Drosophila melanogaster: one gene and its partners. The protein of the gene in region 1 purifies or fractionates together with the protein of each later gene. This does not show direct contact. Each region holds a gene or a part of one and is shown in the gene's direction. Other genes may lie near its edges.

Region 1 (7,217 bases):
CACCGAAGGATCGCCGATAAGCAAGACATTAATATCGCCACGCAGGCGTGTGCCATTCGGCAGGATCTTCTCAACGCCGCCGAGCAGCAGGCAAAGAATGGCCTGCTTCACATAGGCATGTCCATGAATCGAGGGCGCCAAACTCTTGCTGAGCAGCTCGAAGATGTCGTTATTCTTCGCTAGCTTCTTGCACAGCATGATGTCTTCGCGCGATATGTCCAAATTGCTCTCCTTGCTGAGCAGCGATATATTGTTGGCCAGCAGCACGGTGCGGAACGTGCCCGAGGTGTAGCCACCGCGTTTGCCCGGCAAACAGCGATAGCTGCCCACAATCTGTACACGATCGCCGGGCTTGCAGCGATCCACGAGATCGTCGTCGCACACAATATCCACCGAACGCGGCAATTGGCCAGCCGGCGCCTTCTCGGGCATCTCTTGAATGGTCAGCGTCTGGTGATCCTTGTAAACGGACAAACCGTATTCGGTCTCCAGCAGATTGCCATCCTCGTCCTTTGTGGGATAGGCAGCGCCAGATGGCACAGCCTCGAACGATGTGAGATCGGTGTATTTGCGCTCCATTACCTTACGCGTATTGGGGCAATAGTGAACGCTGCGCACCACCTTGGGACGAATCAGCGATACCTTGGTAACAATGCCCTCCACGCACACCATGTTGCCCAGATAGATGGAGGTGAGGGAGCGCGGCGTCACATGCCGATTGCCAAAGCAGCCCTCGAAGCCGACAAACAGATCCTCATGCATTTTGGCATAGCCCGGATCAACCGTGGACGCATACTCCTTGAGCGCCCTGCCAAAGGCCAGCTGCTCATCCGCCGCGTTGCTCAGTAGCCCCAATGCACGTTGCGGATTCTTGCGTTTTAGATCGTTGACATTCACGATCAGGCGCTTGCTCTTCTCCGCGATCATATCCTTGACGTGGCCCGCATAGATGCCCTGATCCTCCTCGTCGTCCAGAAAGTCCACATACTCGCGTTGTATGTCCTTGATGAACTGCTCCCCCTCGTGGGCCATTCTGTGACTTAAGCTGTACACTGGAGTTCACAAAACTTCTTTCGATTTCGCTTATGGATCAACTTCGATCCGTTCGGAGGCAAACGCAAATGCAAACAAAACTAATGTCGCAAATTGCACGCCGAATGCAAAGTTTTTTCGCGGGAAAAGCGTAGTGTGACCATACTGTGGGCATTTGAAGACTGGTTGCGCGGGCAAAATATATATGCTATAATTATTTCCTTTTTTTATATATTTACATATAATTATTAACTTTATTATATAAAACATAGTGGACATAGCAAACTAACTAATATAAGCAAATATACGTTGATATGCAAATTTATAATTAAAACGTTTCCACCGAACATCTGACTTAATTTGTAATGCATACAATATAGAAAACTATCAAATAATTCCTATAATAGTAGTATATATTTATTATCTGCCTAATTAATATCTACATTTAATCCATTGCTATAATAGTAAAATATATTTATTATTTGCTAAATTACTGTCCACACTTAATACATTCCTATAATATATACAATATATGTATTATGTGCCTAATTACTGTTTAAACTTAATCCATTCTTATAATAGTATTATATATTTATTATTTGCTTAATTATTATATAATATATAATATTATTACACTTAAACCATTCTTATAATAGTATAATATTTGTATTTATTATTTGCCTAATTATTATTATATTATTATTACTATATCCTATAATATATACAATATATGTATTATATGACTTATTACTGTTTACACCTAATCAATTCCTATTATAGTATTATAGTATATAGTAATATATTTATTATTTGCTTAATTACTGTCCACACTTAATCCATTCATATAATGGTATAATATTTTTATTATTTGCCTGAGTACTGTCTACACTTAATCCATTTATGATGTGGCTGCGTATTAAATAGTTTATTATTATTAAATAGTTTGTGTAAAAGAAACAGAAATTGTTTACATTTTATGATACATATATATATAGCACTTAAGTAAAATAAATTCCATTTTTATTTATTTCTATAAAATATATATATGTTTAAAATAAATTATATTTCTTGGTAGGATTTAGTTTATCATTTGACTTTGCTATACATTTCTGACCGCCCAAAGAAACCAGTTAATATTGACCACATATTACCGAAATTAGTCTTCAAATTGCTCATCACGAGTCTTCACTGCACTGCTGGTAACACAGCCATTGTCTGGACTGCCGCAACTATCGAGTGCGCACAGCTATCGATATTACGCACTGGTCACACTGTTATAACGAAAAAAAAATTCGCATATTATTCACACTTTACCGGTGTTTCTTGACAGAAAATGATAAGTTTTCGTTAACCGAATTCTCAGAAAGTAAGTGCTTGGAAAGTTTTTCCAAGAAAAAGTGCCCAATAGGGAAACCAAACCTGAAACCAAATAATTTTCCACGATAAGCGCAACAACGCGATATTAGATTGGCCAGCCCTGCGTTTGCGGTTTTTTTTTTGTTTTTTTATTTCCTGTATTTTTTTTGGGGGGGAAAAATTGCAGTTCCACGGAAAGCGAAAAGTTTTCCACCAAAATAAACGGTTGAAGCATGGACGCCGACAAGCAGGTGAGTGTCAGATTATAGCTCCAATAGGCGCCGCCCTTATGCGTATGCCCAATATATTGCAGCTGGAAAGGCAGCTGGAGAAGGAGCTGGACGAGATGCCGGCAGAGGATTTGGACGACGATGCGTATGACGAGTATGATCTGATCGTGATACCCGATCAGGGCAAGGGCTCGCCGCAGCAGGGGCACAGTGAGTCGCCGCAGCAGGAGGAGGAGCACAAGTCGGAGGAGCTGCGCCAACGATCGCGCCCAACCTGGCCACCGTCGTCCGCCGGCGGGGATATGACCACCATTGAGTTGATCTCATCGGACGACGAGCCGTCAGTGGAGGAGACTGAGGGAGGCAATGCCGCTGGCCGTGGCAGAGCGCGCAATGATTCCAGCAGCAGTAGCGATGATGTGGGCGTGATCGAAGGCTCGGAATTGGAATCGAACAGTGAGGTGTCCAGTGACAGTGACAGTGATAGCGACAACGCTGGCGGCGGAAATCAGCTAGAGCGCTCGTATCAGGAGCTGAATGCGTTGCCCAGCAAAAAGTTTGCCCAAATGGTCTCGCTCATTGGAATCGCATTGTGAGTTTGCCTGCTTCTCCCACTCCCATTTTCCATTTTTTCAATATCGGCATTAGCTAATGTTGATGCTCGTTAATGCAGCAAACTGAATGATCTGGAAAAGATCGAGTCATCGGTGCTGGAGCTGCAAAATTTGGCCACTGTGCCGGCTCACGTGTGGCTGAAGTATCTAAAGGCCCGCCTGGTCGTCACCCAAACGGACGAGGAGCGCAAGGCATTCGAGGAGCAGTGTGCCAAAGCGTTGGGCTACTACTACAGTATGCGATAGATAGAATCCATTCGTAGTTAAACCAATTGACGAGTTACATATTGCAGGCATACCGCTGTCCGAATACGTTGTCAACTACCTGGTGGATCAGGGCAACGTACAGAACCATGTGCTGTGGGCCAAACTGCTGGCGGACTACGACGTGGAGCGTCCAGACTTTGGCGACAAGCTGCGTTCGCTGATATCGACAATTACGGACGAAAATGAGGCTGCCGCCTTTGTGGAAATGCTGCAAAAGCACTGCGTCACCTGGACGTGCAACGTGGAGCAGCGGCAGATGATCAAGTCCGTTGTGGACAAGTTTAAGCAACATCTGGACGAGACAACGCGTGGTTGGGATTGGTCTGAGCAACACAAGGCTCATGTCTACGATGTGGAGACATTATCCCTTGACGATGACCTCAAAAACGCTGTGATCCGTTTCATATTCGAACGCTCGGTGGCCAAGTTTCCCATTGTCGATGTGCTCTGGTTATCCTACATTGAGTTCATTCAGTTCGAAGGCGTCACTGTGCCGGAGAATGAGGATGAGAATGAGGTAACCGCCGAAATGGTAGCCAAACGGGCCAAACGCTTGGGCAAAGGTTTTCTGCGCAACACGGAACTCGATTTGGCCAATCGTGGTGTGCGCAGTCATCCCAGTGTACAATTGAATCATCGTTTCCTCGACCTAATGGAGCGCTCGGACTTTGAGTTGGCGGAAGTGGATGAAGAGATACGTCTCATATTGCAGCGCATTGTGACCGACATGGATATGACCGTGGAGCTGCATCTGGACTATCTGGCCTATCGTATTCGCAACACCAATGCCAGCGATGAGCAGCAGGTCGCCAGTCTGCGTGCCGCCTTCAATCATGCTTGGGAGGAGCTAACCGTGCTCTACGGCGACCAGGCGGACACCAGGTACGAGGTGCTGCAGTTGTGGGCCCAAGTTGAGTACACGCAACTGGGGAGTCCGGACAATGGCCGTGAGATTTGGCGCCAAATAATGGGTGAGCGCTTTGAAATATGATTGCATAAGCAATGTTTTAACTACTCATCTTTAGGCTATCCGGGCAGCTCGATACGCGGCCTGCTCTGGCTGAACTTTGCCCAGATGGAAAGCGAATACAATGGTGGCCACGGCACACGCGATGTCCTTCGCAAAGCTCTCTCGCAGCCCGTCCTCGAGAATGGCCTTATGGTGCAGGAGTTTTTTCGCCGCTATGAACGTTGCTATGGCACCTACGAGTCCATTGCCGCCTGCCAGGCCCTCGATCTGCCTGTCGAGTATGTGAAGCCGCGTTCCCGCATTAAGCCCAACTCACAGTCGGCTTATCCTCGCCAGCAGAAGCTTAAGCCGCGCCAGCAGCAGCAACAAACGAATCGTGAGCCACTGAATCGCGAGCAGCGACGTCGCCAGGCGCATGAGCAACAACAGCAACAGCAGCAGCAGCAGAAGCATGGCATTAAGAAGTCCAGAACCGAGCCATCTGGTGGAGCTACGTCACCGCCATCGAAAGTCAAGGGGCCAGCGAATGCAGAGGCCAAGGAATCGAACTTTAAGTATTCGCGTGAGTCGCCATGCCGTTTGGACACATGCGTTTCAAGGACTTACATTAGTTGTCTCTCTTCTAGCCAACATGGAAATCAATAAGATCTTTGTAAGAAATCTGCATCCCGCTTGCAGCAAGGAGGAGCTGCACGAACTCTTCTCGCCTTTCGGCACCATCAAAGATGTGCGCCTGGTGCACAAGCTGTGAGTGCGAGATTACAATTACAATTATTGATTTTAAACTATTTGATCCTCTACAGAAACAAGCAGTTCAAGGGCATTGCATACGTTGAGTTCGAGAAGCCGGGCGAGGCGCAACGAGCAGTGGCTGGACGAGATGGTTGTCTATTCAAGGGCATGAATGTAAGCGAATGATGTGTGCCTTCATGTTTAACCGAACCAACCAAAGCAAATGCATTTCACAACTCTTTCAGATCTCTGTGGCCATTTCAAACCCACCGCCGAGGGGCACATCAGCTGTCAAGCCAAGTGTGGCGCCCAAGCGACGTGTGCCCACCTCGCTTATACCCACGACTCTGGTGCGCCAAGAGGTGGCTGCCAAGAAGCTGCGCTTGCTTCTGCCCGAGCCGGGGGACATATCATCCACTTCGGCATCCGTCGACGTGGCCATCAAGCGCGAGGCTAATGGAGAGGAGCAAAAAGGAGATGTTCAAGAACGAGATGAGCAAAAAGGAGAGGAGCAAAAAGGAGAGGAGCAAAAAGGAGAGGAGCCAAAAGGAGAGGAGCAAAAAGGAGATGATCAAATAGGAGAGGAGCAAAGTGGAGTGGAGCAAAAGGGAGATGAGAAAAAAGAAGAGGAGATGCCAGCTGCTGTGCCCAAGTCAAACGATGACTTTCGCAAGCTATTTCTCAAGGATTAGGCGACAAATGCCGGCGGCTGAGCCCGGTGCCAGCGGCCATGGTTTAGTTTGTAAGACGAAGACGAAGATTTGGAGCATATATTTTTTTAGATTTAAGGCAACCTAAACAGACAAGGTTGGAGAACACTGTACAAAGAGAAAAACTGTTGTAAGACAATGATTTTTGTTTCGACTCATATAAATTGGTTTCTTGATGAACCAAGTGAAGAAAAATGTTTGTTTGTTTCGCATATGACAGCTAGTTGACTAATCCCCGGTGAGTCTTTGGATGAAATGGGTGTTTCAAGTGTACAAACATCGAGTTGATTAAAATGTAATGATCTTGGCGGATTTATTGGATAAAAACTAGGTGCGGAACTTGACGCTCTTCGTGACGCCGGCCTTGATGCCGGACAATTCGCCGCCGTAGCGCTGCAGCTCCTTGCGCACCGTGCGCACGGCTCCCTTGCGCCGGATGAGCGCCTTTCGGTATTTGCCGCGATGCTTAACGCGCGGATTGCGCAGCTCCTTTTTGCGGTGCGGCGTGAGGCCCTTGTTCTTGGCCATCTGATAGGTGATGCCGCGTCGCGCATCCTCCTCTTCCTCCTCCTCACCAGCCTCCTCTTGCAGATCCTTCTCCTTACTCTCAGCATCGTCATCGTCATCATTATCATCATCATCGGAGCTCACTGACGCCTGCTGGCCATCGTTGTACTTGTTGAGTATCTGCAGCTTAGCCTTGCGCTGTGCCACATCCAGCACGGTGAATGCATCGCCATCTTCAATCCTCTCCAGCAGCGCCTCCAGCTGCGGTCGAATGTATTCCTCGTAGCGCGGCTTAAGCTCCTCGATCAGATCCTTGAGTTGCACCAGCCGCCTAATCACCGGATGGGCCTTGACGTCGATGCGACGTGCCTTGAGCAGCAGATAGAAAGCCACATTGGAGCAGTAGGTGGTGAGCACGGTGTGGCAGAGTCCGGCATATTGCAGCGCCGGCACCATGGGCACATCGTGTTTGCGAACGTAGTTGAGCACCGGTTTCAATAGGTTCTTCACCTCGTCGAGATGCTGTTGAAAATCCTGGGTGAGAATGATGAACTCCGGCGACTCACTGTGCATCAGCTGTCGTCGCTCGCGTTCTGATAGGCCGGCCAGATCGCTGGTCACTTTGGTTATATGGCTCAGCTCGTTGTCATCACTGCTGCCTGCGGGCGCTGCTTCTACATTGTCCAGCTGGAAATCGGCCTCGCTCATGCGCTTGGCCAGACGCAGCTGGATCTTTTTGGCCTCCTCCTCCTCGGCGCGTGCCTGCTCCTCCTCCTGGGCATTGTAGCTGCTGTAGTCC
Region 2 (4,036 bases), on another chromosome or scaffold:
GTCAACTGAAATAGAAGCCGAAGGGAAAATGCGAATGCAAATCCAAATGCAAATGCAGGCAAAGAAAGTGCGCCGGAGTTGCGAAGAAATGGCACAGAGTCGCGAAATGAAGAAAGCAAAAACAGGTTGTCAACTATTTATTTTCCTTCTTTTTTTTTGTCTCCGGCGAAGCATGACTCTTTATGGCTGCAGAAGTTACATAATGGGTCCATCGTCATCTCGATCGGAGGTGGTCATCCAGTCGGGCCACAACCACTTTGGTAATCTGGCCCCAATTCCATTTTTGCCCACTTCAACAGCTGTTTTTCCACTCTTTTCCACGCTCTTCGAAAGTTGGTATGTCTCTTTTTTGGAATCCCAAACCGAAATAAAGAGCCTACGTGCGTCGGCTCAGGTGGCTTTTAAAAGCCAGAGTTTTTGTTTATAAACACATAGTTCCGGCAGGCTTAATTTATGCAAATTTGGCGCTAAGGCTTTGTTTACTCAGGACTTTCACTTTCCCCATGAGTTGCAAAATCTTCAGACTCATTAGATTAAGTAAAGAAGTGAAAACTATCGATTGATGATGTTGTTCTTACTGAAATTGAGAATCTTTGAATCTTGAAATGGTAATATTTAATATTAACTATGCCTATTGATAACTTACCTTCTACATTTGACTAAGTATAGTATCTTGTATCTTCTTATAATCGGAAATTTATTAGTTTAAGTTTGTCATCTTTCAATTTGCAAATTCTTGGTTATAGCACTTCTTTAACTTGCATTTCAAATATCATAAGAGATAGCTAATTAAGTCTTAGCCCAACTTTTTAAGCCAAGCTTGGAAGCTCCCGCTCTCTTCCAAGCTTTTTTCGCGCTCTTTGTGGAGCGCGGCTTTTGGTAGCTCGCCTGGCAATGCAATTCAGTTGCCAAACAAAACGCGATCGGCTAACAACCTCGTACCGCTCGCTCGCAGCTTTAGCTTTACCGTTACACCAGTGATTGAGCACTACAATATCCGAAAAAACCATGGCTAAATTGAGTGCCCTGCTGCTGCCCGTAAGTTTCAGATAGTTAAATTTGGTTTCTAGAGTGTACCTGCCAAATTAACACCTTGTGGGGGGAGCCCACAAGTCCACTGACACAATTTCCGCCTTTTCTGCGCGAAAGTCGCACCCAAAAAGAAAACCGTCTGCATTGCTCGGAAATAGTGACTTGAATTTCCAATGAGCCCGCGTCAGTTCTTCTTTCAAAATCCATTTGTTTTTAGTTTTTTCGTTTCTCCTTTTTGGCGGCCAGACAATTGACACATTTTCGAATCATATGTGGGCCAAATTCGAAGGCTCTCTCTGGCCATGGGAATGGGGAGACCTTGAATGACACGATCTGGCTCTCTTCCGCGCTCTCTTTTGGCCAAATTGAACGCCAAGCGAAATGTGTCATAATCTCCGGGCAACGAGTTGTGGCCAAGTTGCGCATCGTGGCTTTTATTGTTGGTGTAATTGCATAACCGGCGTCAACAAACCGTTGCTTTCAAGTTGACTCAAAAGCCTGAAAGCGATTTCTTGGCCGTCGTCGCACTCGCATTTATTACCACTTTCGTGCAGCTGACACAGTGAGCCATTGAGCATAAATGTGATATCTAACTTCCCCCTAAATCTAGTTTAGCCAATTCAATTAGCTTTCACATAGATGTGGTTTTTTGTTAGAAAACGAATTAAAATCGTACTTTTACTTACAGCACGACCCTGCTTTTAATTGCTGCAATCGTAATAAAATTAGATTGGATATCTAAAATTTTTAAATCATTTGGTTAATAATAATAATTTACTTCTTAACTTCAAATAAATTTACTCAAATAAATTACGATAAGTTTGAATCCTAACATTATGAGAACTATTTCTAATATTAATTTCACGCCAATAGATGGAGCTTAGAAAAATGACAAAAATTGAATTTTTAACTTTACCCAATTGACTTTTTAACAAACCAATATTTAATGTTTATTAACCACTTTCTTTACTTTCCAGCTAATTTTGTTTATTGTGGCCTTTGTGGCGCACACAACTTTTGCTACAGTGCAGCCAAAAGCACCGAACTTCCAGTACTTCGAAAGGTATGCAATTGTCAATTTAAACTATATTAAATTGAATTTATATAACAATATATTTCAGGCCCAAGTACCGTTATCCCTACTACGATGAACACGGGCGCGGAAAACTTCTCTACGGCTACGGCGGACCGGAATTGTACCAATACAAGACCTACACGCCCTTGGAGGGCATTCACTAGTCCTAAATATCGATTAGATGCAATGTAGTCCGTAATTTATGTATTCTATTATTTAAATTAAACTTTCTTTATTACCCCAAAAAGTGTTTTTGAATTCCTCTCAACTTGAACAATAGATGGCGCTCTTGGTGAAGCGAATGCAATGGTCACATCGAAATGTTGTGTTGCAACCTTACCAAACCTGCAGTGTGACCGCAGCATTGCCGGCATAAAATAACAACTGTATTCACATTTGTTATTTATTATTGCTGCCAAAAGGTTTTGTAAACTGCATTTATTTTGAAATCATCTATTGAAAATGTCCCGCAAAGAGGCCCTGTCGCAGTTCATCAATCAGATACACGGACGCCCCGTCGCCGTAAAGCTGAACAACGGCGTTGACTATCGAGGTGCGTTCAATGAGTTCCCAAACACACTCATCACATTTGACAATTTTCCCAATCCACTGACCAAATTCCAGGTGTGCTGGCCTGTCTGGATGGCTACATGAACATCTGCCTGGAGCAGACGGAGGAGTACGTGAATGGGCAGCTGAAGAACAAGTACGGCGACGCCTTCATCCGCGGCAACAATGTCCTCTACATTTCCACGCAGAAGCGGAGGGTCTGAATACAGGAGGGTCTCAACTGGCATGGCACCATGAAGTTCGTAGTTAGAGAACTCTGATTCCTCTGTTTCCTTCAGAGGGAACCTGCGACAACACAAGTGTTTCATACTTCAATATTAAAGCTGAACCAACTTCTCATCATCCTGTATACAAACCAATTCCAGTAGTTCTTGATATACCCCCGATACATTAGACCTCGTTGCTTCGTTTCTTAAGTTTATTCCATAAATACACTATCTAGAGGCGCTAAATTGCAATCCCCACTCAACTGGGATAGTGCGGTGTGCCATACTCGCGGGGAATGGCGCCAAAGTGGCGCAGTTGTGGCACCGAATACCCCGATCCCAGGGCAGCGATTAGGCGCTCTCCGCGATAGCCAAACTTTCGCTCGTAGACCGGACGCCAGGAGCGACCGAAATGCGGATCGAAGGGGATCTCGCTGGGCTGCTGGAACGGAGAGTTGCCGAAGAACAGGCGGTCCAGATAGTCCAGCACCGCCTTCTTCTTCTGAAAATGCACCAGCAGTGGATTGGCGGTGGCGGCGGTGCGCGGATCCTGCGATGCCAGGTTCTTGAAGTACTGGAAGTTCACCAGATCCACATTGGAGAAGTCAAAGACCCCGGGCAGATCGTGCAGCGTGGCTTGGACTCGCACCGAGGAGCACTGTGTTCAGCCAAGGGCAATGTTAATGGGCTGATTATGGTGGCTGGATGGTTGCTTTAATTGACCACTTACCATTACGGCCAGTGCAGCAATTAATACGTATTTGCACATTGCAATTGACACCAAGATCACCAAGCAGACGACGACACCTATACGCTACCCCACGCGGAATCCAACTGATTTGAATAAATTCGGCCAACTGCAGGCCCATCGATGGCGCTGCCTCCCATGTCCGACTGCCCAGCGATTTGCAATCGGTCCCAGGTCTTGTACTATGTTGCAATATCCCATTGCCGCCGATTCGCATTGCCCAATTCCGCCCGACGCGGTGTCCACCAGAGCCCAGCCAAATGTAACACTCGCCACTAATTGGTATGCATGTCGCATCCAGAGGCGTTCCAATCAAAGCGCTCGTCACCACAGCGGATCAATTCACATGACCACCGCTACTTCATTACTCCATGGCGACCATTGGATTGATTACAATCGCTGGAT
Region 3 (5,590 bases), on another chromosome or scaffold:
GAAAATTTGTTAATACTCTTACAAATTAAAATAACAAATCCAGGTAGCACTCCTGACAAGCTTACAGGGTAAACGGTGTATAATGATTGACAGGCTGGCTTTTTAATTTGCCGCCGTCGAAGAATGCGCTCTACAAAACCTTTTTCCTGGGCATTACACATACTACAAAAGAAAATATAGAGTTTATTACAATTATATAACTATTATAAAATAATTATAAAACTATCTTACTTCCCAAGGAATGTTTGGGAAATATACTGATGTGGAATAAGACCGGGTTAAAAAAAAACAGTTCTTTTTGGCCAGTTAAGCAAAGACAGAATCAAACCAAAACCATGCGAATGACTCAATACTTACGCTGTTTTGAAAATCTCGGTATACTGGCTGTTCTTGTGTAAAATCCAATTCAAAATTTCGACCTCCATCAGACCGGAGACTTCACGCAGATCACAGATCTCGTTGGCATCAAAATATTCTGAAATCACCGGATAAGCGTCCACCACTTCGCAATGAAAAGCAAATCCGCCGGCTTTGAGATATGGGACAGCATCCTCAATATGGCTAAAAATTGGCAATTCATTTAAACTTCTTGACGAAGACAGCTTTTTCTCTATTAATCTTGTAATAGATCGATTTTGACTCTCCTGTTAAGTAAATCGAGTAATGGTAATATAAATATACATATAATGTTTTCAACGAACTTACTCGGAATAAGACTTTGTAGTAACCAATGTCTTCGAATGATATTTTCAAGGGGCTTGCAGTTATTTCGTCGACTGTAGAGGGACCCTGATCTGAAGAACTAAGCAATCCGCCCACGACGGAAGACGTATAATAGTTGTACATAACCAGGGAGAATAGGAACAGTGTCATTACCAAAAAGCGCACTGAACGATCTACAGGATTTGGGTCCAATCCCTGTTGGCAGCAGGCTCCAAATGTCTGTAAAATTCGTTCAATGCATGTGGTCTTAATGCAAATCACCGAACTTTTCTGATTTAAATGTTCCAGCTTTTGACTATTAACTCGTATACGCAATATCTTGTAGTCGATAATTTCAAATAGCACCCAAATGATGCTAAAAGCACCAAGGGTTAATAGACAGAACAACCAAACTCTGTCGCTGAATGGCGACAGAAAGTTACCACTTTTTCCATGAGTATCCAAATCGGAAGTGTAGCGGTATAGAAAAGCTGTCTCAAATTTCCAACTTTGGTGTATGGTATCAAACTCAGCAAAGCGATTAATTCGATTGAAGGCACCGGATGCGGCTATATCTGCCTCATTTCGCATAACTATTCCCAAGAGTCCAAGTCGAAAGGTAGTATTGCCCAAACGTCCAGCCCATCCTCTAGAATTTCGGAAGTTAACAGTGAAATTGAAACGTTCTCTCAGAAGTCCCAGAAGCTCGTAGTGATACTTTATGAATGCAGCCACTCCAGCATCCTTAGTTGGTCGCGAAAGTATTGATTCAATTTGTTCATTTGAGATTATATCCTCCTTGTCGATCTAGTATCCATAATTGAAATGGCTAAAATCTAATGAGTTATAGTACTTATTCATTACTTACAACACTTGCTCCTCTTAGAGTTAATCCATTAAATTGTCCGCGAAAATCAATACTTTGCAAATGGAAAATATCGCGAGCTATATTCAATGTATCGTTTATCAATGTTGCTATTAAATTTATTTCCAAATTCGACTTCAAGTGTCGTCCTTTCGAATGAATATCCCAGTACGCATAACCATCTGCGGTTTCATTAACATAGGTTATCTGGGCGTTGGGACCAACATAGTTGAGATTTAAAGGAAATAGGGATTGAACCTCGAGATCAACACCCCAGAGAAACCACTGATAGGTTTTGTTGAAATACCTATTTTCAGAGGCTTCAAAAAGAAGTTCAGATGATCCACTGCATCTGGCATTTACCATCACAGAAGTTCGAGCGTAATTTTCCCGAGTCAATATCGATGTTAGTGAATAACTTTGGTTAAGGTTAACTACGCTCACAAATTGATTAATTCGCATCAATGCAAGAGAGATTTCTTTAAAATCTATCAATAAATATATTATGAATACCTTTATTGTAACTTAGCACATTGCTTACCTTTAAATAAACACGAAAACACTATTGCTTGCTTGGTTTTTACTAGACTTTTAACGAAATTAGTTACAACGGATTCTTCCATACTCGGAATTATTTCACCCTCGCCTGCAGCTAGTATTAAAATAAACATACTGATTAAGAGATTCATTTTACTATTGTTTATCCTGCTGGGAATGTTGTGCCATTTTATAGTAAGGTCTTCTGTTTGATTGACAGCATGAATTGCAGGTGCTAATTACCCATTCTAATTTCAATTGGTTCATAATTTACTATGCAGCTTCTATACCCTCTAATCAGAAATAATTTAATTGATTTAAAGTGTAGCTTTGATTGACAGGTAAAATTGGATCATAAATTTTTAATGAGAAAGTAAACTTCTCCCAACACTTATGGCAAAACTAAACCAGTTAGTAGTAATTTAAACAAAATTCAAGTGGGTAATAACATATGTAAATATTTCTTTAATAAACAACCGAATTATTGAAAATCTTTACCAAAACGGGTAACCTAATTGCAGTAAATTTTAAAACGCCAAAATAACATGTTTAGTTTCTTATTTTATTAAGGCTAATATCAAAAATCATAGCTAGAGTTTTTTTCTTTTTAATTTAATTTATGCAAATAATCCATTTCTGTTAATTAAAAACAAAAAAACAGTACGATTAATATCGATTGTGAGCATCGAATATCAAAATAACTCATATCGAAGACGTAGCATTTCTAGTTTGTTTATGTTTTTGTACAAAATTTATGAGTATGCAATATGTCGTCTACGTTTAGATATAATCTATTAAGGAGTGTAAAGCCATACACTTCATTCACTCCGCAATTGACTAAGTCTATGTTGCGTGTCCTTATTCAAGTGTCTGTGCACTACATTGAATCAAAGAAGTCTTCGTCGGAAGTGCTTTCCCTGGCACTAAATAAACTAACAAATGGAGGTCACGAAATCCCTCCGAACTTTTGTGAACTTTTTACAATGGTTTTCTTGACAATGCAAATCTTTTTAAGATATCCCAAGGGCGTGGTGAAGCATCATGAGCTGCGAAAATGTTTAATGGACGATTTAAAGTAAGTATTCAAATGCATACGTACTTGGAAAACTTGACCGTCACTAACATAATTGTTATTTATCTCGTCAATAGTTTAACAGAAGAATATGTTGAAGATATCTGCAAAGTTTTGCTTAACCATCGAGACGTACTGAGCAAGAACTTTTCAGATACTAAAATGGACCGTGTCAAAATGTCAAAGTTGCAATGGAGAATCAACATTTCCTTATCATTAAAGTAAGTATTTAACCTTACCGCTATTTTATTTTTACTTCACTTTACTAATTTATTTTCTAGTACCGTGCAAATTGATAAACCTACAATAGTCCTCCACTTCAAGCTCCAAAATAAGGAATATCGAACTTTAGAATTGCCACTGTCCATGTTTCAACAAGTGCGCTATAATATTGCTCTCTTACTAAATGAATTGCAGTCATTGCAAAGCCGGTTGGCTTTAAAATAAGTTACATGTTTTTTTTATCCATTTGGTGAAGTATTTAATCCGACTGTCCCGCCGACTGTCCTTTTTGCCATACTCAATCTAGCGCCTTAAAGCCGCCAAGGCGGTCACGCCCACACTTTCAAAACAATTTTAAAATCTTTTCTCCCTATTATTATCCCAGAAAAAGGATGAAATTTACACTAGCTGAGTAACGGGTATCTGACAGTCGGGGAAGTCTACTATAGCATTCTCTCTTGGTTACCATTTAAAATTATGTTATAAGAAATCAAAAAAAAACAGAACACGCTATCTTTATAAGCATGTGTTTCATATTCATTTCGTTCCAACAAAGTGATTGACATCTCTTCCGATTTCATGTTATCGCTGTATTAATCGATTACTTCACGAAAATGGTAAGCAATATTATTTTATGGTAAATAAAGAGAAAAATGATTAATTTTCATGTGTTTTAGCTGCCACTTTCACTTTTAAAAACAGCACAGAGCCATCCCATGGTAAGATGTTTGGATTTGCACACATTAGTCATACACATAATTGTTTAATCTAATTCACTTAGTTGGTGGAGCTGAAAAATGGTGAAACATACAATGGTCACCTGGTTAGTTGCGACTCGTGGATGAATATTAATCTGCGCGATGTTATTTGCACCTCAAAGGTAATATTTTAATTAAATATGTATGTATATGTAATTAATATGTAGATTGCCGGTGTGCAAAATATGCGACAACTGGTATATACATAAATACAATCGCATTGATTTGTAAACAGCCGGAAAAATGATAACATGAAGAGCTTGTTTATACCAATATGTGTATGTGTACTTTGCAGGATGGCGATCGGTTTTGGCGCATGCCCGAATGTTATATCCGCGGGAGCACCATCAAATATCTGCGAATCCCCGACGAAGTAATCGACATGGTCAAGGAGGACGCGCAGGCCAAGTCAAGGAATCGCACAGAGATGAACAAAAACCGCGGCGGCAACTCGTCGCAAAATCAGCGCGGCGGACGTCCTGGTGGCGGCAACCGCAACAATGTCGGCAATCGTCCCGGCCAGGGATACGGAGGTGCTGCTAACAACGCGATGCGCCTGGGTGGCGCTGCTGGCCAAGGGAACCGTCTGCCCCACGCCGCCAAAAATAGGAAATAGTTCTTCGGATCGTAGTAATAAATTCTTTTCAACCATTTCAAGTCACGTATTTATTATTAAAAAGTTGACATTTTTACACAGTCTCGATAATTTCACATCACGAGGTTTTCTTTGCTACTTATTGCCATGGTAATCTGTCTTTTATCCAGCGAGCAATTGGAATGAGTTGGTTTCAAGTTTGAAAAATCACTGGGGGCTTCACTATTGCCAAGCAGACTACACCCTGAACGGGGTTTATTGGATACTATAATTGGATTCATGCGGACACGTCCGGCGCGGGGAGACGGCATCCAAGTGTTTCGCTTGCTGCACAAATGCTTTTAGTAGGCTGAATTTCACTGGACCGTCTGTTTGTTTGTATCATGTAGTTTCATTATATTCGAATTTTATTTTGCCTATATTTACTTTAAGAAATATTTAATAAAGAGTACAGGTAAACAAATGTATTATTTATATGTATTGTAGCTAAACGAATTGACGGCTTTTTAAAAACTCAAGCATGCCCTGAACATTGGCATTGACCTGTGGCGGCTGCGTTTGTTGTCCGTTCAGCAAACTATTGGGCATCCCCATAGGAAGCATTTGCTGTGCCTGGTTGTTGAAACCTGCAAGTACACAATCCGATGCATTTTAATCGACTGTTGATATGTAAACTCTTGGTTGCCCCACTTACCACCACTCTGGGAATTTTGCTGTTGAGCCAAATGCTGCAAAAATAAATCCTGTTGCTGCTGAGGATGTGGGGGAATTTGGTTTTGTGGAAAAGAAGAATACTGTCTAAACGAAAGTATAGCCGGATCCATTGAAGTCCAATCACT

The links.
Region 2: the proteins of Rnp4F (region 1) and CG9344 purify together in Drosophila melanogaster (affinity purification with mass spectrometry, with the first as the bait; one large-scale study listed by BioGRID). This does not show direct contact.
Region 3: the proteins of Rnp4F (region 1) and CG17768 purify together in Drosophila melanogaster (affinity purification with mass spectrometry, with the first as the bait; one large-scale study listed by BioGRID). This does not show direct contact.

The regions. Positions count from the first base shown.
Region 1 is NC_004354.4:5,317,812-5,325,028, reverse strand, and holds Rnp4F (RNA-binding protein 4F), read left to right. Parts: upstream 1-2,332; 5' UTR 2,333-2,398; exon of another isoform or gene 2,399-2,479; 5' UTR 2,480-2,621; coding exon 2,622-2,639; intron 2,640-2,701; coding exon 2,702-3,210; intron 3,211-3,291; coding exon 3,292-3,467; intron 3,468-3,525; coding exon 3,526-4,470; intron 4,471-4,524; coding exon 4,525-5,031; intron 5,032-5,095; coding exon 5,096-5,216; intron 5,217-5,272; coding exon 5,273-5,375; intron 5,376-5,446; coding exon 5,447-5,893; 3' UTR 5,894-6,101; downstream 6,102-7,217. Other genes in the region: Mcm3 (minichromosome maintenance 3), read right to left, coding at 1-1,032; Sas10 (something about silencing 10), read right to left, coding at 6,239-7,217. UniProt on the Drosophila melanogaster protein: May be involved in gene regulation during development. Binds RNA.
Region 2 is NT_033778.4:20,974,586-20,978,621, forward strand, and holds CG9344 (uncharacterized protein), read left to right. Parts: upstream 1-2,470; 5' UTR 2,471-2,569; coding exon 2,570-2,660; intron 2,661-2,731; coding exon 2,732-2,880; 3' UTR 2,881-3,015; downstream 3,016-4,036. Other genes in the region: CG34115 (uncharacterized protein), read left to right, coding at 1,009-1,038, 2,010-2,095, 2,154-2,271; CG15650 (uncharacterized protein), read right to left, coding at 3,143-3,541, 3,614-3,652.
Region 3 is NT_033779.5:10,402,418-10,408,007, reverse strand, and holds CG17768 (uncharacterized protein), read left to right. Parts: upstream 1-2,804; 5' UTR 2,805-2,871; coding exon of another isoform or gene 2,872-3,179; intron 3,180-3,253; coding exon of another isoform or gene 3,254-3,397; intron 3,398-3,457; coding exon of another isoform or gene 3,458-3,623; 5' UTR 3,624-4,012; coding exon 4,013-4,015; intron 4,016-4,075; coding exon 4,076-4,117; intron 4,118-4,179; coding exon 4,180-4,278; intron 4,279-4,451; coding exon 4,452-4,772; 3' UTR 4,773-4,811; downstream 4,812-5,590. Other genes in the region: Ir31a (ionotropic receptor 31a), read right to left, coding at 23-162, 358-644, 706-1,509, 1,571-2,055, 2,109-2,256; LSm-4 (uncharacterized protein), read left to right, coding at 2,872-3,179, 3,254-3,397, 3,458-3,623; Cnot4 (CCR4-NOT transcription complex subunit 4), read right to left, coding at 5,238-5,377, 5,446-5,590.